4 linked regions of the Stegostoma tigrinum genome follow. The protein of the gene in region 2 binds, or shares a complex with, the protein of the main gene of each other region. Links are inferred from orthologs where the notes say so. Each region holds a gene or a part of one and is shown on either strand. Other genes may lie near its edges.

What was found.
Region 1: the proteins of bone morphogenetic protein 2-like (region 2) and rgmb are in contact, whole or in part, in a crystal structure (PDB 4UI2), measured with the Homo sapiens proteins. The link is inferred for Stegostoma tigrinum from reciprocal best matches to the Homo sapiens genes BMP2 and RGMB. Residues at the interface, in NP_001191.1 of Homo sapiens: Val308, Gly309, Trp310, Trp313, Met371, Tyr373, Leu374, Asp375, Glu376, Tyr385, Met388; in NP_001353437.1 of Homo sapiens: Lys97, Arg100, Gly101, Leu103, His106, Ser107, Leu110.
Region 3: the proteins of bone morphogenetic protein 2-like (region 2) and repulsive guidance molecule A-like are in contact, whole or in part, in a crystal structure (PDB 4UHY), measured with the Homo sapiens proteins. The link is inferred for Stegostoma tigrinum from reciprocal best matches to the Homo sapiens genes BMP2 and RGMA. Residues at the interface, in NP_001191.1 of Homo sapiens: Val308, Gly309, Trp310, Asp312, Trp313, Met371, Tyr373, Leu374, Asp375, Glu376, Lys383, Tyr385, Met388; in NP_064596.2 of Homo sapiens: Arg91, Arg94, Gly95, Leu97, His100, Ser101, His104.
Region 4: the proteins of bone morphogenetic protein 2-like (region 2) and nog2 are in contact, whole or in part, in a crystal structure (PDB 7AG0), measured with the Homo sapiens proteins. The link is inferred for Stegostoma tigrinum from reciprocal best matches to the Homo sapiens genes BMP2 and NOG. Residues at the interface, in NP_001191.1 of Homo sapiens: Trp310, Asp312, Trp313, Val315, Ala316, Pro317, Pro318, Gly319, Tyr320, Ala368, Ile369, Ser370, Met371, Leu372, Tyr373, Lys379, Val380, Val381, Leu382, Lys383, Asn384, Tyr385, Gln386, Met388; in NP_005441.1 of Homo sapiens: Ile33, Arg34, Pro35, Ala36, Pro37, Ser38, Asp39, Asn40, Pro42, Leu43, Val44, Asp45, Leu46, Ile47, His49, His199, Arg204, Arg206, Pro219, Ile220, Gln221, Tyr222, Pro223.

What each region holds. Positions count from the first base shown.
Region 1 is NC_081356.1:86,607,223-86,615,163, reverse strand, and holds the start of rgmb (RGM domain family member B), read left to right. Parts: upstream 1-4,931; 5' UTR 4,932-4,935; coding exon 4,936-4,998; intron 4,999-7,941. UniProt on the Homo sapiens protein: Member of the repulsive guidance molecule (RGM) family that contributes to the patterning of the developing nervous system. Acts as a bone morphogenetic protein (BMP) coreceptor that potentiates BMP signaling. Promotes neuronal adhesion.
Region 2 is NC_081362.1:10,208,335-10,215,311, reverse strand, and holds the start of bone morphogenetic protein 2-like, read left to right. Parts: upstream 1-3,977; 5' UTR 3,978-4,335; intron 4,336-6,164; exon of another isoform or gene 6,165-6,958; intron 6,959-6,977. UniProt on the Homo sapiens protein: Growth factor of the TGF-beta superfamily that plays essential roles in many developmental processes, including cardiogenesis, neurogenesis, and osteogenesis. Induces cartilage and bone formation.
Region 3 is NC_081386.1:27,106,857-27,114,570, reverse strand, and holds the start of repulsive guidance molecule A-like, read right to left. Parts: upstream 3,020-7,714; 5' UTR 2,759-3,019; coding exon 2,432-2,758; intron 1-2,431.
Region 4 is NC_081376.1:30,147,235-30,154,969, reverse strand, and holds the start of nog2 (noggin-2), read left to right. Parts: upstream 1-4,731; 5' UTR 4,732-5,523; coding exon 5,524-6,168; 3' UTR 6,169-7,735. UniProt on the Homo sapiens protein: Inhibitor of bone morphogenetic proteins (BMP) signaling which is required for growth and patterning of the neural tube and somite. Essential for cartilage morphogenesis and joint formation.

The sequences.
Region 1 (7,941 bases), on a different chromosome or scaffold from region 2:
CTAAAGTTCTACCCTCAAATCAAGACTATATTCATTCGTGTGTTACTCATAAATTTTCAAATTACTTACTTTGTTAATAATATTTCTTGTGTAAACATTAGCTGCATTCCTGCTGCCAGTACTTAGAGGTAAAGCCACTGACTATGCTGTCGTGTATTGTTTTAGAAAAAGTTGAAAGGCGCTGTTAGACTATTTTGGAAAACAGATTGTTACTAAAGCCATGTTTTAATTATTACTATGCTTAATACAAGTGATTAAAATTGCTAGTAAGAATCTGGATGAAGCAATTGGATATTTTGGAAAGAACATTTGTAAAATATACATGCTTTTCTTTGTTCCACATTTCAAAGCAGTTGAGGTTGCTTTAAAGTCAAAAATTCATCCTGAAACCCGATCTTTTATAGGTTTGTTTTCACTGATTCGTATTAACTCCCTATGTACTGACCAAGGAAATAGTGAAAATAGATTTGGAGGCAGGATGAGGGGACAGACAGTTGAAAGCACGTGATGATAACTGCATGCTTTAATAATTAGAAATCTGTCATGTAAGTCCAAAAAGAGACCAAAAAACTGCAGATGCTGGAATCCAAGGTACACAAACAGGAGGAATTGAAGCATGACAAGCTGATGGAAGTATGCTATTTTTAAATAACTGAACATCTGGAAGAACTTTGCAAGCCAGGCAGCGTCTGGAGGAGAGGAGCATTCAATGTTTTGGGTATTACTATTCTTCAGGACTGATGATGAAAATGGGGTTGGAGCAGGATAAGGGGATGGACAGTTGAAAGCATGTGATCACAATTGAATGCTTTAATAATTACAAATTTGCCATAGTGTTCAGATTTAAGTGCATATACATTTATTTTAGGAACACATCCTTTCCCCCTTGTTGACAGATGGAATGTAAAATTTCCAGAGAACATTGTCATTGAATAATAGAATCATACAGCAGGGAAACACGTCCAACTCGTCCATTATAACCAAGTCTCCCAAATTAAACTAGTCCCACCTATCTACGTGTGGCCCATATTCCTTTTAGCCTTGCCTATTTATATTCCAGTCCAAATGTTTTCAATGTTCTAACTATACCTGCATCTATAACTTCATCTGGCAGTTCATTCCACATATGAACCACCCTCTGTGTGTAAGAGATGCCCCTCAGCTACTTTTTCAATCTTTCTCCCCTCATCTTAAAAATATGTCCCCTAGTTTTGAATTACCCCACTTTTGGTTTATAGCACCTGATCTTGATTTTCTTGCCAAAAATATATCACTTCAAACTTTTTTTGCATGAAAATGTTATCTTCCACTTGTCCACCCATTCCAAGCTTATTTCTCTTGTCAGGAAGGCTATTGTTATTTTCCTCATTGTTCCTCACTGTCATTCGTAGCTTTTGAATTTGTGCTGTGTACACCCAGGTCTGGCCCTTTAATACGGAATAACAAAACCTAGTACTGACCCCTGAGAAGCCACATGATATACTTTATTTTCCTCCAGTTCAAAAAAAACTGGCCGTTCACCTCTACATGCTGACATTTGGGACACTTTTTCTCCTCTTGCTGCACTGTCCTTTTACACTTTGCTGACAAGCCTGTTGTATGGCTGTTCATCAAACTTGTTTTTGAAATGCATATACACCAAATCAACCTCCATACTCTCAACATTTTAGGTGAGAGTGAAGTAGTGGCGATATCGCTGGCCTGGATTCTTTCAGTGTCTCAAAAGAAATAGTTTCAAAAGGAATTTACCTACCATGTCTGGGGATGATAAGACTGACAGAGCTGTTCTTGAATCCCTTTCTTGTGTCCTAGTTCTGATCCTCAAGATGAAAAGTTACAACTTGTAGTTTCTTTTCAGCAATGTATAAAGATAGTATCACATCTGTCCTCTATCTCGTCGACCTGGGAGTTGTGGATTTGTTTGTCCTTTCTGTCGTTAAAAATATGGTTTGATTGTACTCAACGATCTCTGCTTTAATGGTTGCCCGTCTGTGGTTCAGTTTTGCCTGCCGATCTTAGGTTTCGGTTTATCTGGGCCAGATCAGGATCCAGTACCCTTTCTGCTAGGGATGTCATTTGTCCCCTGCTCGTTTGACAGCAACTGGGAGACTATTCAGATGTCTCCTCTTGATACTGCTGGTTTATCTTTTGGGTTACTGTACTCTTAACCTATTTGGCCATGACTTGAGGTCTGCCTGGAGCTGGTTTGGACTGGCAACCAAGGTAGAACTTGAAATTGGCAGTCTTCATCTTGTTTGATGGATGAGTGGAGAGAGAAGACTGGAGGAAAGTAATCATGGATCCTGAATTTTAACCTCATGTTCAGATGGACCATGACTTAGGTGGGGTAGTTAAGTCAAAGCTGGAAGGTGCAGGTGCCTGCCTAGGATGTACCATTCTACTAACAGTCCTTTACTTGCCCTACGTCGTCTCCTGTTCCACTAGCATACCTAATTGCCCCACCCGTCCTGTCAGTGAAATGTCCTGTATTTTGTTTCTTCAGAGTCGTTCATCCTGTCATTGGTACTGACATGAACATAGCACTGGCTGTTCATCTTCACAAGTGCGGTTTACTGCCACTCTGTGACGTTTTCGCGGGGCACTGGGGAGATCACACAAATCTTGGAGTAGTGCCTATGGCCCAGACGTACCCAACTGCCCTGATTAAATCATTGCTGTCATCAACCAATATTCAGTTGTGAACAATGGAGAGTGAGATACAATCCAGGACTTCAGCAACACTGGTTTGTCTTTCTTTCCGGCCTGGTGATTATCCATTTCTGCTCTACCTGCGTACCTTGAAGCAATAGGGTGCCCGTATTCAGAAATATACAGTTCACGATGACTTCAGCTTTGTCATTTTGTGTCTGTTCTATTCATGCTCGTGTGTGTCAGTTGAGATGCCATATTTGTATTAGATTGACTTTGAAGCAACCTAACATTGCAGAGTGGTTACCAAGTTTGACTTAACAGGACACCCAAGAAGGTATTCAACAATAGTCAGGCATTTGGAGTTGGTGACTAGTCTACCTCAACTGCATCTTGACTGTCATTCCCTTTTATACAAAACATATTTGCTTTAAGAAGAATCTTGAGCCATCATTGAATTAAATACAGAGTAGAGAATATTTCTGAAATTTTTCTGAATGAGAACCACTTCCAATATCTGTAACCAATGGCAACTTGACAAATTGTGGGAGAAGATAACATGCAATTGTAGAGACTTTCATTCAAGAGTTATTGTTTGTGGAGGAAAAAGGCATCCTCCCATTTTTCCCACAAGTAGAAGAGCTTCAAGCTAATCCGTTCCCTTGGTTGCTATCTGTGAAATGTTAAAATTAATTGATATTTTTCTACCTAACATAGTACGTTTTGTTCAAGCAGCAATGGTGAGTTTGAGATACTTTGCTTTTTATTGTACAATTTTTTTCCACACTTAAGTTCACCAATTAAGGGAAGAAAAATCTATTTGACTACTGGCCCAGACTTTGCTGAAGAAAAAGTGATATAGTCTGTTACTAATTAGCAAGTCGATAAATAGCTAATGATGTGGCAGGGGTCTTCATTCCTAACAAGCTGCTGGCCAATCTGCACATTAATAAAGCTTTCATTTGCCAAAATTAAAGTTACTTTATTTTTACATTTGACTCATAAATTCACCATTAAATTTAAGTAACTCGGCAAATGCGCAAGTAAATGTGTGAAGTCTTATTTCAGATTATCAACGATACTAAAAATGTTAAAATGTAAATTATAAGATGTTTGTTTTTGCTTTTTCCTTGTTTCTGTTTTGGCCTCTAAATCTGGTCTTTCTTTCCCTTTCAGTTTTCTTCTATACTTGATTTGACATTGAACTGACCCACTCTAATATACCCTCATACTCAGTTCTTTTTGTTTATTACTCCTTTTAATCTCGCTGGTTATACATTGTTTATTTTGTTATTCGTTGCCATCACTGAGCAGTTTTCACTTCAAGCATCTCTGTGAACAAGTTACTTTTATAAACCTACATGTGCGTGAACACATCTGAAGTGCACATTGAGATGCCTTACTAGAGCAAAACCTGGGCCATTATCATTGATTTTTGTTAGGATTATTTATTATTCATTGTTACTGGTTTAAATAAATAAATCATGAAATTTTGGAAAACGTTTTGAAGGTCTGCTTGTTAAAGGAAATGTTTCATAAGCAAGTTTGATGTGACTTGTTGACATGCATCTCATAACAAGCTGCCTTCTAGAAGGAGAGGCCTTGATCTAAAAATCCACACATTCTTACTGGATATGAGGTGTCCATGCCTGAGAGAGGGCTAGGTGTGGAGCAGGAGTTAAAGTATTTTAATACACATGATAAAGAATGAAGAAGAAAATCACAAGTAATAGACTGATTACTCAATGCTTTAAATCAAAAATTAATGTACATTAGAATGGCAGCATATTTATGAATATTTGGAAAGATTTTACATATTCTTTTGATCAATTATAATCATACTTTAATGACCAATATTGGTATCTGTAGAACAGTATTTAAATAATCCTGCATCATTAGCATTTTTCTAGCAAATTACTCACAGTAGAAAAAGTCCTTATTAGCAGATATCATTGCTTCTAATCAGTCCTGTTCATTAACTCTGCAGCTCCACTGAAAACCCTAAAATACTGGCTTTTCAATGGGAAAAGAAATATACTGGTCTGACAGCATTGTGCTTTGAAATGGAGAAGGATTAACTGAAAGACTTCCCTTGTGGATCTTCAAATGATGGAATTCTGAAAAGTAAGTTCGCCATTTACTGTCATATTGGAGAACTCTTCCTAACAGCTGGTTTCTGCTATATTAGTTTTTTGGGAACAGGCCATCCATCTGTCTTCTCAATTGTGAAGAGGCAGTATCCTGGAAACATGCCCTTGGCAATTGCAGATCCTACATGGAGACTTGATGCATTGCAAAAATAAATTTCAAAGATTTGAAATTTTTTCTGGCTTTTACATTAGACTCAAGGTTTGTATTATTTTTTAATCTCTTTCTTGTTCAGTCATATCCTTTCAATAACATGGTGGCCATTGACCAAAACTCTGTGCCCCATTCTAAATGTGAATTAACTAGTATTTCATGCAGCTCTACTAGGATCTTGTTGCTTTTGTGAAATAGAGTATTCTATCTGCTGCCTTGACCACCTAATCTACTTGCTGTGCTACCTTCAGTAGTTGTAAACTCCAGTGACATTCACTTCCTCCTATGTCCTTCATAATCTTACTGTTTATTTCATTTCACTTGCCTTGTTTGTCATGACCCCACCACACCAAGTGTATGGCACGTACTTCTCTGGACTGAATCTCATTTGTCAGTTTTCTCTTCACCTGACCAGTTCTTTGACCTCTTCCTTCTTCCTTGCTATCAACCGCATGGCCAGCTTTCATGTCATTTGCAGGTTCCTTGTAATATCAATGGCTTAAAGGGCGTAATTATTACACACAGCAAGGAGCACACTGCTGACTTTCAGCGAATCCCACTGGAACCATCTAGTTACTAAAGCACCTGCCACTTAGCGAATTGTTTCACCCAACCTGCCCTTAGCCTTGGATCCCACAATCCTACCATGATTAGTTATTTAATTGTGTCACTTAGAAGACTAAGGAGGCAATTGTAATATATAATCCAGGTAAAGAAATAGAGGTACTAGCAAGGGATCCAAACCATCTTTGTAGAACTTATTCATTTAGTCAAACACCTTTTCAGCACTCGAGAAACATTGACCTGCAACCAGTTAGTCAGATGTGGTGGAAATCTTGCAGCTTCATGTAACCTAGATAGAAATATATGTTTAATGGGGCAATCAGAGTGGCATACTGAGAAGGTAGAGGAATTTTATGGGGCTATGATGAGCATTGCTAGTTGCCCTATCCCTGCAAAAATCAGTGGCTTAACTTCAGAGTAATCTACAGCAGTACTACTAAAGATGATTTGTTCTGGTTGTTCTGTGCTTTAAGGGTTAGGTTGGAGTTTTTGGTTGTTCTCTTTGGAACTCAGGAAATTCGGGATTTGAAAGACATGTTCAAGATTATGACAGCTATTGTAGACAGAGATACATAATGACAGAAGTTGTTCCAATCTGCTGATTATATAAAGAATAGGGCACACAGATTTACAGTTACAAACAAGTTGTGTGGAGGGATGTGAGGAAGGACTTAGCTCTTTGTGGCAAGGGTAGTGGAAAGCATTAATTTCTAAACAAAATTGTCATTTATGTGTAGTTGAGTTAAGTAAACTTGCAGGGCTACAGGGAAGGGGACTCACTGGATTGCTCAAGAGAGCTGACAAAAGACTTGATAGGTTGAATAGCATCCTGTTGTGTCATAATGATGCCATGAGAATGATTGATTGTAATTTATTACATAAAATATTGTGGTGTTTTTAAGCTTAATATTTCAATGCTACTGCAAACAAGACCTAGATAAGTTATTGGTGTTTAAAAAAAAGTTTAGATTGCACTATTATCGGCTACATTTTGGAGACGGAAATGGGAGATTGGGGGGAAAACATCCAAGGTGAGGTCTTTCTAGAACCATTCCAATGCTTTGTTTGACTTGCTGTGGTAGTATGAATGGATGTCCTGTCTGTTATCTACCTTGTCTGAAAGCAAACTGTGTTAACCTGATTGTTTAGCAGTGAAGCTTTGTTTTACAGTTCAAACAGTCTTGATGAGAGATTGGTTCCCTCTTAATTTTAGGCACTTCAAAGAGGAACAACTGCGAGACTGGATTTTTTTATTATTTGTGCAAATACTTTAGCAATAGAAATAATGTCTCTGATATGAAATGAAATGATGCATGACTATCGCATCCTAAATGGAATAAACTGAATAGAAAAACCAAGTTGCTGGAAAGCTCAGCAAGTCTGGCAGCATCTGTGGAGGAGAAGACAGTTAACGTTTCGATCTGATGACCCTTCCTCAGAACACGTTCTGAGTTCTGAGGAAGGGTCACTAGACCCGAAATGTTAACTGTTTTCTCCTCCACAGATGCTGCCAGACCTGCTGAGCTTTTCCAGCAACTTTGTTTTTGTTCCTGATTTAAAGCTTCTGCAGCTCTTTTCGTTTTTATTTTGAATAGATTGCAGTTTTTCCCTTTTATACTAAATCAGAAACTTTCTCAAAGAAGGACAAAATATGTAGTTCGAGCTGCATTTAACTGATGTTCTGAGAAGGTTAGATGAAGACAGTCGGTACATGTAGAGTACACATGCTAGCGTTGACCAGTTTTCCTGAATGGTTTATTTCTGTATTGTGAATTCTGTGTCCATATGTGCCTCACTGTGGTATGGGATATCGTCATTCCAAATTATATAGTAGTTCTATTACTCTGTACTTTTTCTTATTGAAGATGATCATTTGTGAATTTGAGACACTGGTTAACTTGACTGGAAATAGCTCTTGAACTGTGGTAGCTGAAACAAGTTTAATGTTTAGCTGCTTAGTCAAACTGTCATTGGGAATTCAAAACTTTACTCAGCCTCATTTTGTTCCTAGAATATGTGTTCTGAAAGACATTTTGTGCCTCAACGAAGAATGTAGTAAAACAAAATCGCCCTAAAATGTTCTTACAGTAAAGATGAATCTTTTCAAAGCATTGAATATGATGAATGTCAGAGATAGTAGGAACTGCAAATGCTGGTGAATCCGAGATAACAAGTTGTGGAGCTGGATGAACACAGCAGGCCGAGCAGGAAAGCTGACGGTTCGGGCCTGATGAAGGGTCTCGGCCTGAAACGTCAGCTTTCCTGCTCCTAAGATGCTGCTTAGCCTGCTGTGTTCATCCAGCTTCACACTTTGTTATATGAATGTCAGTGGCCTTAGTTTTGGAATGGACAAATATTACCTTTTGTGGGTTGACGTCAAAACTGTGCCCTTTCAAATAAGAAAAAAATCTCCTTTATTATGTACAA
Region 2 (6,977 bases):
ACTGAGGCCTGGAAGGGTTGTACACTAAGTAGCTGTTTGCAAATCAAACTTAGTTCTTCATAAGTAATATAAAATATCATTTTAATTAGAGATTTGCTTTCATTTTTACATGGTTACCAGTAAATCTCCAAAAAATAAATTGCTGTTGTCAAATTTCTCCAAAGCAATTGAGTTGAAGTGGTGATCTAAATGGATAATATCCGGAAAATGCAATTTACAGACTAATAAAGCTGCTTCTGTGTTCTGGCTGGATTGAATCTCACCTCCTGCAACTTGCATTATCAGCTCGATCTGTGACTGAGATCAGTGGAACAGTTCAAAGCAACAATAAAAGTAATCTGCACCATAATAATTTTGATTAAAATTTGCTGTGTTGATCCTAGATAAGCAGCCTCTTAGCTGTCAGCATTTAGGGTTGTGATTTGTTGTCAAATTTAGACTTTACCTCTAGCATTTGGCAAAAACACCGAGCAACAGCAGCTGTTGCAGCTTCAAGAAGTGGACAGGCAAGATCTTGTTCCCTAGCTCCAACCATCACAAAGAGAGTAAGAAGCTGCAAATACCCAGTGTGGGGAAAGTAGCATCAACTCAATCAGATGTAGGGGAGTGTTATGATGGAGGAAGTTTCGCTTCCTGCTTGGAGAAACCAATGTATTCTGGCCTATGATGCTCACCAATGCCTTTTCCAAGGGCACATATATCACACATTTGCTTAGGCAATGAGTATATAGGATTAATGATGATGGAGGACATTATTGCAGTGCCTGATCATTGTTCGAAGCCTCATTATCTCTGTAGCCTCCTCCAATCTGGAAAGTCTCTGAAGAATCTGCCGTCCTCTTCATCTTTTCCTTCCATTACTCATTGTTGACGACAGTGACTTTCACCTTATGTTCTAGAATTCCCTCTCTCAACCTCCTTACCTCTTCTTTCCTTTGTGAAACTAACTGATTTTTTGTGAATCTGTTGGTTCTCAGTCAGAATGTCCCCTTCTTTGGTGTGGTGTGTCTGTTTTGATCTGCTTATGCTTTCCAGAAGCATCTCATGATGATTTACTGTGCGCAAAGTGTTATGTAAATACACAGCATTGTTGTTGGGTGGTGAGGGGCACCCAGTTATAGAGACATATAGTACGGAAACAGAACTTTATGTCCAACTACTCCATGCCTAACATAATTCCAAACTAAACTAGTCCCACCTGCCTGCATTTGGCCCATATCCCTCCAAACCTTTCCTATTCATGTACGTAATCCAAATGTCTTTTAAACGTTGCAATTGCAGTCATATCTACTTCCACAGGAAGTTCATTCCGCACAGGAACCACCGTCTGTGTAAAAAAAATTGTCCTCACATCTTTTCCAAATTTCTTTCCTCCCACGTTAAAAGTGTGTCCTCCTAGTTTTAAAATCCCACATGCCAGGGAAAAGACAACTGCTATGAACTCCACCTATACCCTTCTAATTTAGAAATTGTCTTCAAGTTGCCTCTCAACCTCCCAAGCTCCAGTGAAAAAGGTCCCAACTTATCCAGCAATTCTTCATAACTTAAACCTTGCTACTGAACATATACACACCATGGCCTGCTGTGTTCCTCCAGCTCCACACTGACACCAGCATTGGCAGTTCTTGCTATCTCTGAGTTATGTTGTTATAATCCTGCTTTATGCACTGGAGAACAATCGGGAAGGTGAATCACTTCCCATTCCTGGGCACACCATCTAATACACACCCCTAAAGGATGCAAGGTGAAGTACCATAGATAACGCATTACTGCTATTGACCAACCTATCAAGGAAAATTTTTGTAGGAAGATAGCAGCAAAATATGTCCCATTCCAAAGACCAAGATCAATGAAGAGAATTTCTGGGAAAAGGCTGAGTTTGATTTTCTAACTGGGTCCAATTTTAAAAACCCAACTTGAGTTTCAGGATTCAATGTAGGCAGCAAAAATATCTCTCCGTCCACATAAACTCATGGAATTTTCGGAGGGTTTCTGATAATTCCAATTCATCTCACTTATACAAGACCACAATATAATCTCGGTGTGTTCAAACAAAAAGTGACAACCAGTCAGCCTGCTCTCGAGAACGTTAACACTTCTCAGACAACGTTAACGTCCCTTAAATGGTCTTTCTGAAAGGGCACACGCACATCCGGCTAGATATGAAAACCACTTTGACCGCGCGTGGTCTTTTTTCTTTCTGTTTTAAACCTTGGTCCGGTGCTTCACTCCTTTCTCTTTGCAAGGTACCTGGGACTGGCTTCGTGACCAGAACCGCTGGGGAGCAGAGGAGGGCGCGTTTGCCCATTCAATCAGCGTCTGATGCACAAATGTTGCAAACTTGCAGCAGATCTGGATGTATCAGATATAATGGGAACTGCAGATGCTGGATGTATCAGATCACTCCTTAGATCCCTTTTCCTGAAAGCTCCCAGACCTGAAACGTTGACAGTTTCTCTCTCCGCGGCTACTGTCTGACCTGCTAGGCAGTTTTTGTGTTTGTGTATATCTTAGGTTTCCAGCGTCTGCAGTGTGGATTTTAGACTGTCCTTTCTGTCTCTCCGTCTTCTCCAAGGAGATTCCACTCTCTACCCACTCAATGAACAAGCAGTGGCGGCGGGCAAGTTGTCCGGGATATTTAAAACAGAAACTGAGAGCGGAACTCAACAAAGGCTTGTAAAGCGTTCTGGGGAGATTGATGAAAATTCGGGTTAAGAATAAGGGGCAGTTTCTCCAGCCAGCTTTCTAAGCAAAAAAAATCAACAGGACAACTTAGAAAGCACGTAAGGAAGAGGAGACAAAATAGAGAAATGAGGCATTTAAACTAAAGCGGACAAGGAGAGAGGGGGAATCAGAACACATGTATGTTGTACCCGTGTCTGGAATGAGATAGATCAGATGGTGGGGTGCTGGGGGGGGGGTGGGTGGTGGAGAAGGGGCGCAATTGGATGTTACGGCTGAATTGGGATCTTTTGGATCTGTCACGGTGCACAGAGGTGAGGTATGAATTAACAGGGCTATAAATAAGACTAATAAATAGCTCTATTAATCCCAATGCATGTTCTCTCTGGGCGCTCCCGGGAGATGTCTAATGCACACGTACGTATGTGTTGACGAATGTTGACTGAATTATAAAACGACCGGGTATTCACAACGTCAGAAATAAAACAAAAATCGGGAAATACACACAGCGGAATTTGTTGGAGAAACTCAGCAGGTCTGAACAAGGGTCACCAGACTTGAAACGTTAACTCAACTTTCTCTCTCCAGAGATGCTGAAGAAGGGTCCCGACACAAGACGTCAGTGTTCCTGCTCCTCTGATGCTGCCCGGCCTGCTGCGTGTCTCCAGCTCCACACTGCGTTATCTCTGACTCCAGGATCTGCAGTTCTGACTGTCCCTGCCGGACCTGCTTGAGCTTCTCCAGCCATTTGTGGTTGTGTGTAACCCATAACATCAGTCCGCCTGCCATCGGTATTATGGATTAGTGTGTATGTTATGAATTTGGTGTGTGCATTGAGGATTGCCATGTGTGTTAAGGATTTTACGTGCGTATTGTGGTTTCGCTGTCACACAGCGATTTCAATCTCTCGGTGGGGTTTTACATATTTGTCCCGACGTTTGTGAACTGGACCTTGTTGAAAATTCTGATAGCTGGCGGTAAATGCATATACCCCTTACCCCACTCGGATGTCTGAGGAGTGCGGTGATAATGGGAGCTGAGGAGTGCAGTGATAATGGGAGCTGAGGAGAGCAGTTTTGTTTAAAGCAACAGTTCTCTCTTTCTGTCTGACGGAGAAACTCTATGACAGTATGTAGGAAGTTCTCTGTGTCACAGACACAGCATCAGTCAACCTGTTTACACTCTTAAACAGAACCTTGTTTTTCTAAAAAAAATACAAAAATCCACTGTGATGTAATGACGTTAGATGAAGATCGTCTCTGAAATGAATGAGTCACTTCATATCTGTAAACATTCCCAATGCCAGCCACAATGCCGAATCACTAAAGGGGAGTGAGTGAGTGAGTGAGAGAGAGAGAAGAGTGAGAGAGAGAGAGTGAGTGAGTGAGAGAGAGCCCTCACATGAGCGACTGTGAAGTCATTCACTCGGAAGAACTGACTTGCTGCGAGATGCTTTAAATCGGGCGCCCGGAGCCTCATCTCGCGTTTCGTTTCACACATGCAAAGATTAACTTCTGGTCTCTCCGGGATTGCTCACTCAGTGAAATGATTCGCCTTTCCTTCCCGTTCGGCACTTTTTCATCAAATCCCGCTGACAGGAGCAGCCGGGTTTTGGGGTGCAGCAGCGTGGTCTAATGCAACATTCTCCATCAGGTAAAGGGGAGTGGGAAGATCTGAAATTTCACTCATTTGGTCATTTGAGTCGTTCAACTGCAGCGAGCCAATTGCTGCTTTTGATTAGAGGGTGCAAGATTTATTTGATAAACTTACAATTACTCTTAACCTTTATTTCGTCCCTAGTACATCCTTTGTTTTTACTTGATTTTATTTTTCATACAGCACACACATCTTTTCATCCCTAATACACAGCCATGTCCCAGAATCGTTACTACATTCTCTCTTGTCATACACATGTTCTGCCGCCGGTTTTAAATTTCCTTCTCTCTCTCTTTCACTTTATCTTGATCTTAGACTGCCTCTTCCCACTGTGCACGGCGTCACACCTGTACGGTCTGTATTGTTTTTAAAACTTTTGTTTTCGATATATTGATGGTTTAAAGTTGTAAATTGAAGTGGTTGTTGCGTGTGTGTGTCGGAGGGGAGGGAAGTCACGGGGGTGGGGGGAGGTGAGTGTTGTGAGGGGGAGGAGGGAGCTGATTCCGATCTGTGCTGAGCCGAGTTTCAGGATGATTTTACTTCTCTCTCTCTCTCTCTCTCTCTCGCGTTCCGAGAGAGTTGTACAAAGAAGCCGTTGTAAAAGCAAGCTGGAAATTCAACCCTCTGGCCTTTTGCTGTGTTGACCAGGAGTTGGCGCTCTGGGCTCTCTCTCTCTCTCTCTTTGTCGAACATATATCAGACCCAAAATCTTGTTTCGTTCAGGGGGTGTTGGGGGAGGCAAGACATCCCAAAGCGAGTGGCAAGTGCTTTTCCAACATTGCATCCCTGAGTGACCTCTCTTCTTGAAATCCTCACTGAGGGAACCAAACCAGAACAAAACAGCCGAAGAATAGAAGTCTGAGCTAAACTCTCAGACTTTGGTCCTGTCACCGAGGGGAAAGCGCACCGTTCTCAATTTCCCGACACCCCACCCCCACCCCTCCCTCACCACTCCCCCCCCCCCCAACCCTCTGGGGATGAATGGAACCTCCTATAACGTGTGGATTTCTGAGAGCCCAGCCGTGTCTGTCCCAGCGTGAGTTCCCAATCCCATTGCTGTGAGCGCCGAGATGATATCTCGGCATGAACAAGAGTAAATAAACCTCACACGTACTGCAGAGAGGCTTCTGAATTCTGGATCGCCTTAAGAAGTGTTCCTCGGATCTTTTTATTTGTGGGGAGGGGAGCGCGGAATGGACAGTTCAGAATTCAATTAATTGCGATGACTTCTCCCGCCCCAAACCCCCACCCCTCACAAGCAGAACCCAACTATGTTATCAACGGGATCTGGCCTTTCGAATGACCGACCCCATTGATCGGTAGATTTGGTTTGGATAAACACCGGGGTCAGAAAGCGCGCTGGACTGGGCCAGTCTGGAGGGCGTTGGGTGGGGTGGGGGCTGCGATGGTGTCTATGTATGTGTGAAAGGATATTTTAAAGAGGCGCGTGTGGCTAACAAAAAAAATGGCATTTATATTTTGCTGCGCTGAGTTGCCATTTCTCTATCCCACCAAGCCTCCCCCACCCACCCACCCACCCATACACACACACACACACACACACACCAAAAAATAAAACATAAAATCACGCAACGTCCAATCTGCTGCCCCGGCGTTAATCCTCTTGGCAGAGAAATGTTTTGTGCTATTCCACCCCCAACCCAAGTCAAAGATTCAAACTCTTGCTCTGATCTCAATGTCGAGATTGTGACAGGAATCAATTATCGCATTTGATTGGCATCAAGCGTCATTGACGTGACATCAGCCGGCAAGCAGATCGTATATATATAAAGCCGCTTTCAATTACTTATGCAGCAGAAGCGGGAATCAGCGTTTTAAACAAAAACCTTACTGAATATATATATATATATATATGTATATATATGAAACCCTTCACTCACTCTAGATTGTGTGTTTGTTGTGTGTGACTGTATATATGTATATATAAATATATATGGGCCACTGTGTTAAGAAATGATGGACTTTCCTATAGCGCTCATTGCCCGGGGCTTTGTGAGTGAACCGGACGATTTGCTTGGACTCCGTCGCCGTTTTCGGGTGTATTTTCGACACAGAGATCTGAAAGCAATGTTCTGACCCCCTCTTCGCCTGCTGTTGATGGGCGTGAAGGGCTGCACTGCCCTCTGGAGAGCTTCCCAACACCCGGGCAAGGGAGGAAGAGAGCGAAAGTGTGGAATAAGCAGCGAGCAAATGCGGGGCACAGGGAAGAGCAGAGAGGAACTGGTTCGATTCCTGGTCCCTGGACGGGAATAGCTCGGCGGAGTCCCGCGGCGGTGCTAGACTCAGAAGGGATAAACCGAGACGAGGGTCAGAGAGGGAACCGAACTCACCTCCTTCCTACCAACAACCCTCCCTCCCTTTTTTCTGGATGTAACAAAAAAAAAGCAGCCGCGGTGAAGAGACAAATAATCGCCTGAACTTTTCCTCTCCCGCCTCTCAAAACCAGATGCTCCGGCGCCTCGATTTGCGGGAGGGGGGGACCAGAGTGAACCGGGGACGGGGCTAGCGAAGGGCGGCAGCGCCCGCGGACCGAGTCGGAGCTGCCCGCGTTTGAATGGACCGCTGCTTTCTCTGAGCGGGGCGCCTGTTCAAGGGAAAGGTAACGCGGGCACAGGAGC
Region 3 (7,714 bases), on a different chromosome or scaffold from region 2:
ATAGGAACTTGCATTTATGCAGTACCTTTCACAATGTTATGTTATCCCAAAGCATATTGCAGCCATTGAGTACTTTTTCAATGTAGGCACTGTCTGCACAGCAAACATAGAATTTCCAGCACAGAAACAAGCCACTAGGACTAACTTTTGTATGATGCTGTCCATCAGAAACTCCCTCCTGGCTCCCTCAGTCCCTATCGAACCTATCAAAGCATTTTGTGTACCCTCACATACTAACCTAGTGTCCTCCAGATCATTGTGTTCCATCTCCACTACTGTTTGTGGTGGCATGTTCTACAATCTAATTACCCTCTGAATATATAAGTTTCTTCTGAATTGCTTTCTGCATCAGTTAGTTACTATCTCACATTCATAATGCCTACTTTGAATAAGGACAATTTTGTTCAATGTAAAACTGTTCCCTCAATGGATTCACATATCAATTGGATCCATTTCATTGGTCAATAAGGGCTAACTGATAAGCTTAAAATTAATTGTTCAAAAAAAATGGAATACAACAGTAACCTTGGTAATCTGTAGTTTCTTCTTCAAGGTCACCCTACATGTTCAAAGAAATCATAAACTGATACAGTATAAATTTAGGAAGAGATTTGTTATTGGAAGAAGGATTAATCTAATTTTTAGATCAAATTTTAATGGCTTATTTTCCTATGAGAGTAATTTCTGTTTGGAGAGTTGGATCAACACACAAACTAATGTATTAAAATAATTGGATAAAACCAGATAATCTTACTGACACAGTCTAAAGACTGAAATAAAAACAGAAATTGCTGGAGAACAGCAGATCTGGCAGCATCTGTGGACAGAAAGCAGAATTAACAACTGAATCCAACAACGCTTCTTCTCTCCACAGATGCTGCCAGATCTGCTGATTTTGTCCAGCAATTTCTATTTTTGTTTCAGACTTCCAGCATCCACAGTTCTTTGCTTTAATTAAGGGCTAAAATCTGCCGAGGAAGACTCTGTCCACTGTATTAATTCCTCCGTCTCGGTTGTTTCAATTTTGTTGACTCCTCTTCGTTCATAAAATGTTTTAATTAATCTCCAAATGTTTGATTAATCACTCAAAACTATCGCCTAACAGTGACAGCCTGACTGTAAGTGTCCTACAGTAATCCAGCAGCGGCAGGCCTGCTGAAATTAAAGACATCCAAGATGGACCTGCAAAAAACTTTAAATGATCTGGGGTTTAAATTCTCTAACATTAATTCCCCTCAAACACCCCACCTCCCAATTAGCCCAACAAAAGGACAAGTGCCTAGTAGTCACAAATAGTAATGCATCTCTATTGTTCCAATGGGCGAAGTAAGTCCGATGGTGACTGTGCTGACCGAAAGAAACTGCCCAGGTAAAGCAGACGAAAATGAGTTGGGGGTGCTCCTAATTAGGGGGACAGCAACATGCTCTGTGGCCGATCTCGCCATTCCTGTCCATCCCGTAAGGTGTCGCTGTTCGACACTGGGAGGCACGGCTGGCTTGGATACAGTTTCCATTGAAAATTGTCAATCTGCTGGTTACGTTTCTGTTCTTAGAAATGAGGAACAAGTGGAGGGGAGAGAGAGAGAAACACAGAAAACAAGCAGAGCGGGAACCGTTCGCTGTGCAATTTAAATCAGATCACTCCAGCAATTATAACACACAAGAGGCAATCATAACATCACCACCCCTTTAATATGCAACTAGCAAACCACAAATATTCTTCCCAAACACAACACGAAAACTTTATTCTGATGTTGGATAATCATACAACCGCGGGTGATTTACAAATGTCATCTCCGCCAATACACATCAGGAGCATAGTTTGATGTGTGTCATTCTTGTCTATAAAACAATTGTCCCTTTAACGTTTAATTTTACAAATAGAGAGAAAAAAATGTTAAATTTAACCTTTAGAGGCCTTGCTACAAATAGAAAACGCGCCAGGAAATTGCACGCCCTTCCCCGTTCCACAAGTTGCAAAAATGCAACATTTGCACCAGTTTCCGCGAAGGCTCTGTAAAGACTGACAAGTTGCCCGTTCAAATAATTTCGGACGAGGCCACATTCCGATCCATTTGCAAACCGGGTGGGGACTTGACTGCGGTGGGGAAAAGCTGCAAGAAATTGTTACAGCTGGGGTGGAAAGAAAAAGGGGGGAAATAGACTACCAAAAATAAATGCAAACCACGATCTTTAAAAAGGCTGGAGATAATTACATATAAAAACCCACACACACACAAGACTGAGAGATCGCGTTAAAATTGACGGGAATATACCGAAATGCGTGTTATCCTGGATAGCAGTCAGACCGGTTTTGTTATCATTATTGCTAGACTGCTGTATTTACAGAAATCACAAGCTGCGCGCCTCTTCTGTCACTTACTCACTCCGGGTGAGACTGAACTTGCAGCCCCGCTCTCCCTTCGCTTACCTCGGCCGCTGCATGTAACTGTTGTCCGGCTGATGTGATGACAGCTCCCGGTCCTTCCTCCACTTTACTCAAAGCCCCTGAGCTGCAGGAAAGGGAAGCTTGGCTTGTGTGAGATTTTTGTTGTTGTGCCTTTTTCAGTTTTGTGTGTGTGTGCGCGTCTGTGCTAGAAAGCTTCCACCTCCAAGATCGTCCCTTTTCTGGCCAACGTTGACCCCATCGGGTCCTGGCTGTCGGAGAGGGGAGGGAGGAGAGGGTTGGTTTGCACACAGCCTGTGATACAGAAGCGGCAGTGAGATGAAGGAATGAGCGACGGAGAGAGACTTTCATCGATATCCACGTGCTAAAAGCTTTGTTAAAATGCAAAGCGGGAGAGAGAGAGAGTGAGAGGAAAGGAAACTGCAGCACGTACTGGGAGTGCAATACACTTATCTAAGACTACTTTGTTTGTATGTGAGAGAGAGTGAGACACGAATAGGAGACAGGGAGATGGGAATGAATTTTAAAACATTACAGACTGACAAACACAGCAAGAGGAAAATTATAATGTTCACTTAGATGGATTCACACACACACACACTTACAGTGGCATCGACAAAATTCCCGCGTGGGTGTAGCCGATTTTCCACTTGTTAAATTTGACAATAGGATCAAGTTTTTTTTTAAAGGGGAAAAGCTTCTTTATTTTTGAAGGATACGCCTTTGAAGAAATTCAAACACTGAGCGGAAAATGCGTTATGTGAAAAAAAATAATCAATATATTGATATCAGTTTCTTAGACCCCATTATCAACTAATGATTTTTCCAAATGAGATGATTAATTGTTGCGACTGGGTGTTGGTGCCTACTCAGCCGGTTGGTCCAGAATTGTGACATGTCTTAATTTCATTACATTTTATTTTTAAAAGCGTCAGTTGGCATTTCAGGAATGTAGGAATCAGAGTAGAGCCCCTGCAAGTCACACTTGATCCTGACTTTGAGATATATTCGTCATTCTTTAATTATCACTGGATCAAAATCCTGGTACTCCCTTGTGGATGTCTCTGCAACCCCTAATAACTGCATTGGGTCAAGTAGGCAATTTAATGCCACCTCCTCCAGAATTAATAGGAGAAGGTCCAGCCAATGATGCTCATATGCCATAAGTTATTTTTAAAAATAAAATCGGCCTGTGGAGTATGGCCCATTCCACAGAGGGAAGCATTCACTTTGCAAGAAAAGTCTTGCCTTTATATAGTACATTTCACAACCCCAGAAAGCCCCAATTAAAGTACTTCACAGCCAAAGCATTTTTGAAATGTATGTTTATTAACACACTGTACATTGGCAATGCGACTGAGGTACATGTTCCATACTATATTGTGCCAACCTTTTAGAGCTACACTAACACAGGTACCACAATTGTATTGGTGATATTATGGCTTACCTCGAAGGCTCAAGTTCATATTCAATAAATGCTATCTGTCACCATTTTGTGCTATCATTTTAGTCATTATTTCATGTTGATCACTATCATCTGTTGGCCATTATTTTGCACTGGATCACTATCTCATGTTGAATCTCTGCTTTGCATTAGATTACTATTTCGCGTTACTCACTATCTTATCTGGTCAGCGTGGAGAAGCCAAACCAAAGGGTCTGTTTCTGTGCTATATGACTCTATGTTGCATTGGTCATTATCTCATGTTAGATTGCTAGCACGTGTTGCTCTCTATCGCGCGTCGGTCATTGTCTTGCGATACCTTGCTGAAAATTACAAGTGTTAAAGGGATCAGGATTAGGCTGACTTGCGATGGCTGACATTTAATGCATATCTGTTTTGGTGAGTTAGCAAACTAGTCAGTATCCATGGTCCAGACTTTGATTTGACTCTAAGCTGCCAGGAAAAATGGATGACTAAAAGCTTAAGCACACAGCAAAGACCTTGAGAAGGCTTGTCCTTTTGATTTGGAAGTACACAAAGCCAGAGACCCTTTTTTATTAGGCCCTTAATTCCAAACAACAAACTGAATGCTTTTGCTGATGTTATAAAACATGACACCTGAAAAAGATTTGCTTAAAGATCACACTTGCACAGATAACAAAATGTTTATTTTGAACAACATGAGTGTATTACTCTGCCATATTCCTTTCTTAAATGTGATAACACCTTCCAACCCCCTGCCCCCCAAGTGTGATACAATGTTGCCCCATAATGGTAAGCAGTTCCCATCTCTCTCTTCTGCAAACTCTACAATAAATGTATTTATTATCTCCTGGGCTTTATTTCTATGAACAAAACTTTCATTTCCTTTGAGGAATATGACCGAGCTACGTCCTCACCTTCATCAACTTAGTTATCGGGAAAATAACTACCCAATGACTGAAAGTTTTTCTTATTAGAAGCCCCACAACTGACCCAAAACATCAGATTTCAGATTCAGGAGACAGTTTAGTCTCTCACTTTGTACATTGTAGATGCCAGAAAACGAAACTGGCTCAAAAGAAATTCAGCAAGTTGACAAGAGAAATTCTAAATAACGAAGTGTGGAGCTGGATGAACAGAGCAGGCCCAGCAGCATCTTAGGAACGCAAAAGCGTTTGTGCTCCTGAGATGCTGCTTGGCCAGTTGTATTCATCCAGCTCCACACTTCGTTATCTCGGATTCTCCAGCATCTGCAGTTCCCATCATCTCTAAGAGAAATTCTAACTCTGTAACTAGCACACACACTTGATCTCAAGTTATCTCACAAGGACAGCTGACTCAGAACTTATGGCTGTAATACCTGAATCCTGTTTATAGCTGGGGGTGGGCGTGGGGTAGTAGGTGCAGGGTACTGGTGGAGAAAAGATGTTGATTGGAGCTGAAGTTACAACATTAGAGACTCTACCTAGTCTAAGGGACTATAAAACTATAACTCCAATGTTCAGCACACCTTTGAAGTATTACCGACTCTTCATTTTCACAATGGACTGCAGAGATTATAACCCTGATTCTTGCTGAAGGTCAGGCTATAACTTGAAAGATCTGATTCTATCGATGGACTTGTAAAATTGGTACAGCATGAATTCCAACTTTCATTGCCATCTGAGGCAAGTCTCTGCACTGAAATTGGCACCTTCCTCAAAGCTGCCTTGTTTTTAGTTTTGTGGCAAATTTGTGCTCAGCTATTTGGAATGGATTGTTTAACAAAGCACTGGGGGGAGGGGGGTCCAGGGGAGGAGTTATTTTCTTTGACAAGCAATGGAGGACAAACATGCATGAGTTTAACAAAGGATACAAAAGACATAAAAGCATTCATTTCCCGGCACTGATATTGGCAAATCAACTTCATACATGTTGACAGCCACCAAGCACCTCAACTGTCTGTTTATTTTATTTCTTTCATGGCAACAATTGCTGAAACCATGACCCTGGGTGGGAGCACTGTATTGGAAGAGGGAGTATTGCTACAATGATAAAAATGAACGGTTGAGTCTTGAAATCTGTATATGAGGGACTTAGAAATGCAGCATCCCCTTGTACTGGACTATCACAGTAAGGATGTGCTTGAATGAAGTGATTAACTGCACTTTTTTTAGGCAAAGTGGTGGGGAGGGTGCATTGACTAACAGCTTTATTTGACACATGCATAGTAACAAGACTAACATGGTTTGAATGTCATGCATTCATAAAATACTTGGCTAAATATTATTAATTAACAGTTTACATTTCAGGCAAAATAGTTTAAGTCTGCCACAGTATCAAAGCAGTAACGAGAATCCCCTTGATTACAGGTTCAATGTTTAAATGGCTTAGCAAGGTTACATTTGTAGCTTGTTATTCAAGGTATCATTAATAAGCTTGCACTTGGGATCAGGCTGTTCTCTGTATTTTAGATGCAGGCACACTACCTTATTTGTTCAGTAGATTAGCATCCCATGTGTAACTTCAGCTGGAGTCCTCAGCTTCACTTCTAAGGCTGTCCGTGGTCAGTTATTGTCTGCTAGCCATCGTTTTCTTCAGTCACCTTCTAGGCTGAGTTTAGACAACTTCAGACTTCTGGCAATTGTTCTAGCATTATAGAACTGTGCACTGTGATGATGCACACCATTAGTTTGTTGCTTTTAAGTTAAAACGCTTCAGCTTTCTTGAACTTCTAACTTTTACTTACAAAACTTTCTTGCTTGTATCCAAAACTCTTACCGGTTCTCGTTAACATTCTTTCTTTTTCTAAGGCATTTCACATCTTCTATCTGGAGATGAAATTATTTGTGACCACGTAAGATGATTCACTGAAAACAACAAATGCTGGAGATCACAGCAGGTCAGACAGCATCCATGGAGAGAGAGCAAGTTAACATTTTGAGTCTAGATGACTCTTCATCAGAGCTGAAGTGTGGGAGTGGGGGAGGGGTGTTGTGGGGCATCAGCATTTATGCTATAGTTTGGCATTGGGGGGGTGTGAGATCTTGGTGGAGAAAAGATGTTGTTAGTTCAGATTAAGTGATTGGAATGTGAGAACGGCAGAACAATGGTGTGTCTCCAGCCAGACTTTAAAGGACAGACAGTCCTACTAGGATGGTGGGGGGGCGGGGGGGGGGGGGGGGGGAGGCGGTGAAGAGGACATGATAACAGAATGTAACAAGCTAAAAGGTAAGAAATGGTTCATAATTTGAAGATGTTAAACTCAGTATTGAATCCAGAAGGCTGTGAAGTACCTAGACCGAAGATGAGATGTTGTTTCACTGCTGTGATTCGCTGGAACTCTGCAGCATTTCTAGGATTCACAGTGTCACTTGGATTCTGTTAGGCGTATGCTTGTCAGGACTAATAACGGTATTATTTTAGTTAGTTTAATGAAGGCCATGCTTTTGACTAAATCCATTATTGTTTTCCTCTCCTAACACCTAAACTAAGATGACAAGACACCCCAATTTGACAGAAATCATTTTTTATAATTCTCCTATCAACTTAGATAGAATGACCCATTCATTGGGGTCATACAGATGGCATGGTGGCTCAGTGGTTAGCACTGCTGCCTCACAATGCCAGGGAGCCAGGCTTGATTCTGGGTAATTGTCTGTATGGAGCTTGCACAGTCTCCCTGTGTCTGTGTGGGTTTCCTCCCGCAGCCCAAAGATGTGCAGGCTTAGCGAATTAGCCATGGGAAATGTAGGGTTACAGTACTTTGGGGTGGGGGTGTGGTAGTGGCGATGTGGTGGAATACTCTTCAGAGGTTTGGTGTGGGCTGAATGGCATGCTTCTACACTGTTGGCATTCCAAGATTCAGCTTGGTGACCTTAAGGTTGAATGTCTATCAATGC
Region 4 (7,735 bases), on a different chromosome or scaffold from region 2:
TCTTACACCTTGATAATAAAATGTGAGGCTGGATGAACACAGCAGGCCAAGCAGCATCTCAGGAGCACAAAAGCTGACGTTTCGGGCCTGGACCCTTCATCAGAGAGGGGGATGGGGAGAGGGAACTGGAATAAATAGGGAGAGAGGGGGAGGCGGACCGAAGATGGAGAGTAAAGAAGATAGGTGGAGAGAGTGTAGGTGGGGAGGTAGGGATAGGATAGGTCAGTCCAGGGAAGACGGACAGGTCAAGGAGGTGGGATGAGGTTAGTAGGTAGCTGGGGGTGCGGCTTGGGGTGGGAGGAAGGGATGGGTGAGAGGCTCCTGAGATGCTGCTTGGCCTGCTGTGTTCATCCAGCCTCACATTTTATTATCTTGGAATTCTCCAGCATCTGCAGTTCCCATTATCTCTGGTTCTTCCTCTCACCCATCCCTTCCTCCCACCCCAAGCCGCACCCCCATCTACCTAATAACCTCATCCCACCTCCTTGACCTGTCCGTCTTCCCTGGACTGACCTATCCCCTCCCTACCTCCCCACCTATACTCTCTCCACCTATCTTCTTTACTCTCCATCTTCGGTCCGCCTCCCCCTCTCTCCCTATTTATTCCAGTTCTCTCTCCCCATCCCCCTCTCTGATGAAGGGTCCAGGCCCGAAACGTCAGCTTTTGTGCTCCTGAGATGCTGCTTGGCCTGCTGTGTTCATCCAGCCTCACATGTTATTATCTTGGAATTCTCCAGCATCTGCAGTTCCCATTATCTCATTTCTTACACCTCACTTAATACCCTAATATTTCTCAACAGTCTGTCTTAATTCTTGATGCACCTTGTTTTTCCTTCAGAATGTTGCCTGCTGGTTCCCATTTCCCTTCCAAGTTCATTTCACCCCTCTGCACCACGTAATTACCCTATGAAGATGTTGGTCCTAGCCTCGTTCAGGGGAAACTTGGGTGGTATGTATAAGCCCCATCTCCCCCTAAAATGGTCCTAATGTTCCAGTAATCCTGCCCCCTCCACCATCCCCTAGCCATGCATTCATTGGCTTTATCCTTGCATTTCTATAATCACTAGCATATAGGAGTGAGTATAATCTGTAGTTTACTACTTCTGAGATACTGCTTGCAAGTTTCATTCCTAGATCCTGAAAATTTGTCAGCAGGATCTCAAACCTCTTTTTAATTATGTTATTGAGATTGCATAGACCATGATCATTGCTTTTTCACCTTCCATCCTCAGAGTGTCTATAGCCGCTCAGTGACCTTGACACTGGCAAAATGCCATACTGGAGTTATGTCTGCAGTCTTAGAAATGCCTGTATGTTCTGTATCTATGTGAAACCCTATCATTATTGTTTTTGTAGTCTTTTCCTGATGCCTTTACAGCTAAGCCAGCACACTAACATGGACTTAGCTCTAGTTGCACTATTAAATACAGGATGGAGAGTGAGATACACTCAGGTAACTCTTGCATTACCTGCCACGTTATCTTCAATGGCTTGACAGAAACCCATTCCCCCTTGGCCTCATATTGTTAAACTGTGGGCTGACCACCTCCAGAAATTTGTTATTCTCACAATTCTTGGCCTTTCAGATGCATTGTAGTGACGCCAACTGCTGCTAAAACTCTAAAACATGAATCTCAAGTTGCACCAGTTGATAATGCTTCCTGCACATGCACAATAGACACATTCCACAGCACTGAAATGTCCTAGCATCTCTCTATTAGACTATCCAAAATTCACTCAAAAGCTTGTATGTATTAGTCCTTCTAGCCACTCTCCACATTCCTCACTTTCCAGGTGCCTAAAACAAAAAGTAACAGTGCTGGTTCAGCTCTCATGGTGCCAAAGAGAAGACAGTCACAGATGAGGTGAGTAAGGTTGGCACATTGGAATATGCATCTTAGGCCAGGACACCACATCAATCTGTGCCTGGAGCTAGCAGAAAAGTGGTGTGAGGGTTTGAGTACCAGAAATGTATGGGTTTAGGGACCATAAGTGAACAGTTTTGGAGCAGGGAGATTGTAGCACTGGCATTCTGAGTGTTATGAATGTGGTGGGTCTAGAACAGGGGGAGAGATTTTTGGGTCTGGGAATTTGAGTGGGGTATATCTAGGCCTGAGAATCTGGGAACCAAGGAAGTGTAGGTTTTAGAACCAGAGGAGTTGGAGGTATAATCAATAAACTGGCAGCCAGGAGGTTTGAATGCTTGGGAATTGGGGTTTATGGGTCTTAGAAAATGGGTGTGGCTGGATTTAGGCCTTGGGAGTTGGGCAAGGGAAAATTTGGAGCTTTGGGAGCCAGTACTATCTTATCTGGTGACTGCGACCTAGGAGGGTGTAAGTTTGAAAACTTGCAGGATATGTGTTTTTAAGTTTAAGAGCCAAGAATTATCAAGCTGGAGCTTTAGGATATGAGAGCCGAAAGGGTATGGCTTTGGCAGTTTGAGGGTTTGAGAGCTATGAAGATGCACATTTTGGCTTTTGTAAGCCGGCATGATGCAGGTTTGGAGTTTGGTAGCCAAGGAGACTGTAGACTTGGGGGCATTCAAGCCAGAAGGTGCGACTGTGTGTGTTTCACAGAAGTATAAAATCATTACAGAGTGGAAGCAGGCCATTTGGTCCATCAAATCCACACTGACCCTCTGACGAGCATCCCACCCAGACACACACCTCTATTCTAGCCCTGTAACCCTACACTTCCCATGGCTAATTCATCTAGCCTGCATAATTTAGCATGGCCAATTCACCTAGCCTTCACATCTTTGGACTGTGGGAAGAAACCAGAACACCTGGAGGAAACCCACTCAGACACAAAGAGAACATATGAACTTCACACAACAGTTGCCCAAGTCTGGGATTGAACCTGCGTTCCTGGCACTGAGAGGCAGAAGTGCTAATCACTGAGCCACTGTGCTCCTGCAGAAAGCCAAGTGTATACATCTTTGGGATTTGGGGTTTTGAGAGCCGGAGTGCAGCAAGTTTGGTGGCCAGGAATGCAGGGTTTGGGATCTGATGCTGGGAAAGTGCAGTGCTGGGGTTTGGGAGCAAGGAGAATGTGGATAATGTTATTTAGGAGACAAAAGTGTGTGGATTTGACAACAGGAAGTGTCAGTTAATGGGGCCAGGAGGTTCAGGTTTGGGGGTTTAGGAGCTTGGAGTTTGTAGATTTGCACATTTGGGAGCCAAAAGGATGTGGATTTCGAGTAGCAAAAGTATAGGTTGGGTTTTGATAGCCAGGAGGATTGAGAGTGTTTAGGAGCCCAGAAAGGAATGATTTTGGAGTGGTGAGACTGTACATTTGGGGGTTTGGGAAGCAGGATGGGTTTGGGCTTCTGCTACATAAACGATGTAGCTTGGGGGCTCTGGCCACCAGTAGTGTGTGAGTTTGGGGATCTGAGAAACCAGGAAGATGTAGGATTGGATATTTAGAAATTGAGAAGATATAAGGTTGTGAGCCAAGAGGATGCTGTTTAGGAGCTAGGGAGGTGTAGATTTCATGCTTCAGAGTTGAAACAGTGAGGGTTTCGGAATTTGGGTGGGGGGAGTGTGTGTGTTCTGAGGTTTGGGAGATGGAGGTGTGAGTTTGGGAGCTGGGGATGTGTGTGCTCTGGGGATTGGGAGATAGCGGTAGCGGGTTTGGGAGCTGGGAGGGTATTGTCTGGGGTTTGCAAGGCAGAAGGGTGTGGTTTGGGGGTTTAGTGGTGGGAGGGTGCGGGTCACGGTGTTTGGGAGACGGGAGGGTGCGGGTCTCGGTGTTTGGGAGCCGGGAGGGTGCGGGTCATGGTGTTAGGGAGCCGGGAGAGTTCGGGTGTCGGTGTTTCGGAGCCGGGAGGGTGCGGGTCACGGTGTTTGGGAGCAGGGAGGGTGTGGGTGTTGGTGTTTGGGAGCCGGGAGGGTGCGGGTCTCGGTGTTTGGGAGCCGGGAGGGTGCGGGTGTCGGTGTTTGGGAGCAGGGAGGGTGCGGGAGTCAGTGTTTGGGAGCTGGGAGTGTGCGGGTCTCGGTGTTTGGGAGCCGGGAGGGTGCGGGTGTCAGTGTTTGGGAGCCGGGAGGGTGTGGGTCTCGGTGTTTGGGAGCCGGGAGGGTGCGGGTCTCGGTGTTTGGGAGCCGGGAGGGTGCGGGTGATGGTGTTTGGGAGCCGGGAGGGTGCGGGTCTCGGTGTTTGGGAGCCGGGAGGGTGCGGTTTACGGGGTTTGGGAGCTTGGAGGGTGCGGGTCTCAGTGTTTGGGAGCCGGGAGGGAGCGGGTGCCGGTGTTTGGGAGCCGGGAGGGTGCGGGTCTCGGTGTTTGGGAGCTGGGAGGGTGCGGGTGACGGTGTTTGGGAGCCGGGAGGGTGCGGTTTACGGTGTTTGGGAGCCGGGAGGGTGCGGTTTACGGGGTTTGGGAGCTGGGAGGGTGCGGGTCTCGGTGTTTGGGAGCCGGGAGGGTGCGGTTCAAGGGGTTTGGGAGCTGGGAGGGTGCGGTTTACGGGGTTTGGGAGCCGGGAGGGTGCGGGTCTCGGTGTTTGGGAGCTGGGAGGGTGCGGGTCTCAGTGTTTGGGAGCCGGGAGGGTGCGGATCTCGGTGTTTGGGAGCCGGGAGGGTGCGGGTGTCGGTGTTTGGGAGCCGGGAGGGTGCGGTTTACGGTGTTTGGGAGCCGGGAGGTTGCGGGTCTCGGTGTTTGGAAGCCGGGAGGGTGCGGGTTAAGCAGCTGGTGGCTCTGGCAGGAGGGGCAGGCGGAGGGCGGGGGTAAGGTGTCAATCAGAAGCGGGGCGCCGACCCGGGATTTCGCCTCTCTGCGGGACACAGATATTTAACCTGGAGCCGGAGACTCGGCATCAGTCCGGCTGCAACAGGAGGCAAGGAGCAGAGACAGGACGCCTCCCCAGGATCAACACCGGCTTCATCTCAGGATCAACCTGGCATCAGCACCGGGATCAATCCAGGATCAGCACCGGGATCAACCCGGCATCAACACCGAGATTAAGCCGGGATCAATCCCGGATCAGCAGCGGGATCAATCCTGGATCCTGAGCGGGATCAGCGCTAACAATCTCGCTGCCGGTAGAGCTGGGGCCGGGCGAGCCCGTGTGCCCCGGAGTGGAGCCCAGGAAGCGGGCCGCCCTGGGCCGGAGCCGCCGCGCTCTCTCCCGGGCTCCGGGCCGCCTCTCACTCCGGCTCCTGTCATCCCGTCTAGACAGCTTGTGGCAGTGAGTCCTGGCGTTGCCATGGCGACAGGCAGCAAGCCGACGTGAATTTCGGGGTAAAGAATCTGGAAAAAGGCCGCTTTTCTGGTGCTTTTCGCTTTCCGGAGGTGGATCGGTGGGAAAGAAAAAAAGCGAGGAAGGAAAAGAAGGCGAGAGAGTGGAAAGTGAGAGAGTGTGGGAGAGGCTGCGAGAGACAGCAGCTTAATCCGGCAGCAAAGTTAAACCTCAGCACGTCCTGTACGTGCCCGTCATTCAAAGCCCAGTGTGTTCTATTAAAAGTATCAGTCTGCTCGCTTTGCAGCCTATTTATAAACCTCTGGGCTCGCCGAACTGGCCCGTTTAAAACATGGAGCTGCCACAGTATATGCTGAGCTGCTTCTGCATGTTGCTACTGCAGCACGGACTCTGCCAGCCTTATCTGCACCTCCGGCCCGTCCCCAGTGACAGTTTGCCCGTGGTGGACATTATCGAACACCCGGACCCAGACAACGATCCCAAGGACAACGATCTGGACGAACGGGCTTTACGGAAGAAGCTCGGCAGTCACTTCGATCCCAACTTCATGTCCATCACCCTGCCCCAACTGGACGACTCTCCGTCCCGGGACCCGAACTCCAGGTTCAAACCTCTGGGCGCCATGCCCAACGACATCAAGAGGTTGGATTTGTCCGAGACCCCTTATGGGAGGAAAATGAAGTTGGGTAAAAAGGCCAGAAGGAAGTTCCAGCAATGGCTTTGGTCCTACACATACTGTCCGGTGATGTACACATGGAAGGACCTGGGAGGCCGCTTCTGGCCACGGTTTGTTAAAGAAGGCAACTGTTACAACGAGAGGTCCTGTTCATTCCCCGAAGGGATGCTGTGTAAACCTGTCAAATCGATTAGCAAGACTTTCTTAAGGTGGTATTGCCAAGGATGGTCAAAACCCAAGTACTGCACGTGGATACCTGTACAATACCCAGTCATTTCCGAGTGCAAGTGTTCCTGTTAAAGGGAGAAATGTTCTCATGCAGACTGGGTGAATCCTATATACAGATGGTCTATAGTATAACAGCGCCCTATAGTGAAATCTATTTTTATATATCGCATTCTAAAGAAGCGCCAGCTTTGTATCTATATAACACAATGAGATTTAACGTTGCAGAAAATCATGGTTTTTTTTGGGGGGAGGTGGGTGAGGGTGGGTTGGGGAAAATTGACGGACCATAATGAAGCTCCACTCAGATGGAAGGGATATTCGCAGTCACACTGCGGGCCCTGATCGCTGACTTTGAGAACTAGCAGCAACTCCGAACAAGTCTAGCCTGGGTTTCCATTCACTGAATCCTAATAACTGCCTTTAATGCCATGTGCCTAGTTTTTTTTTGTAAAATAATAATAATTATTATAAAAAAAGTTGAGGTGAAGATATTACAGAGTGAAATCTCAGCTTTCCAATACAATATAGGAGTGTAGAAGAGTAAAATCTTGTGTCCAATTATTTATTACTTTAACGTTTGTTGATATAAATGTAGATGATACCGTGACATTTGGAAATGTTTACTTGAATATTATTTCTAAAACAAAACATATCAATGTAAATATAATGGTTCAATGTTTTTAGCAATAAAATCTCATCTTTGAAACAAAAAAGTTTGGACATCTGACAGCATTCAGAGCCTTGGCTTCTTTGGGTGCGAGAGAGTGCTTCTGTGCAAAAGAATAGAACAGTCTTCATGATCTATCCGAGCGGAGGCAGCCCTTCATCATTTCAGTCATTCGGAGCTGCCTTTGAAACGTCCCGTCCCTGCACCCTTCACAAGCCGCCTTGTCGGGAATGTGTACTAACTGTTCCATCTGCAGCTTTAACAAACTTTAAGTGACTGTGTCCCCCACACGGTTTTCTAAACGAGATCACAGGTAATGAACAGTTACAAACGGTGCCTAGATTCCAGTCACGGAAGATGTGTTCACTATAAAATCGCATGTGAAGCTGGTTCGTAGTTCATTTATCAAATAAACGCTGTCCAAGGAACTTAACATCAGTTGCAATAAACTGTACAAAGAGGTTCGTTTTGTACAAGATAACGGTATTGTTTCAAAGCCCATTCAGTTGTAAAACCTTTGGTTTAAAATTTGGGGAATAGAATAATTGCAGCGTCCATCCTGGAAGGGGGAATCTCGGGGCAGGTCTGCGGAGATCCCGGCATAAACAGGTGAAAAAAAGTCAGACTACTGAAAAAACAAACAAATCAAAAAGATGTTTTTAATTTGGAATGTGTCCAGCAGGATTGGGGACACGTTGTCTGGGCATCTGAGTGGGCTACCCCTCCCCCCCTCGCACACAAACACAGATATTTATACAGCGATGCAGCCTTGTCTCGAACTTACTTGCTAAGAAATGGTGTTGAAACTTTACAGGCCGCTTTCACTGAACTAAATGGATAAGGAGTGGGGAACAGCACGGAATGGAATAGGCAACTGATAGGAGCGCTTTGCTCTGTCTGCTCCCTCGGCGTTTTTCCAATCTCCAGCAAGCCCAAACACTGTAACTGTTATAAGTGGTGCTCGCTAACAGA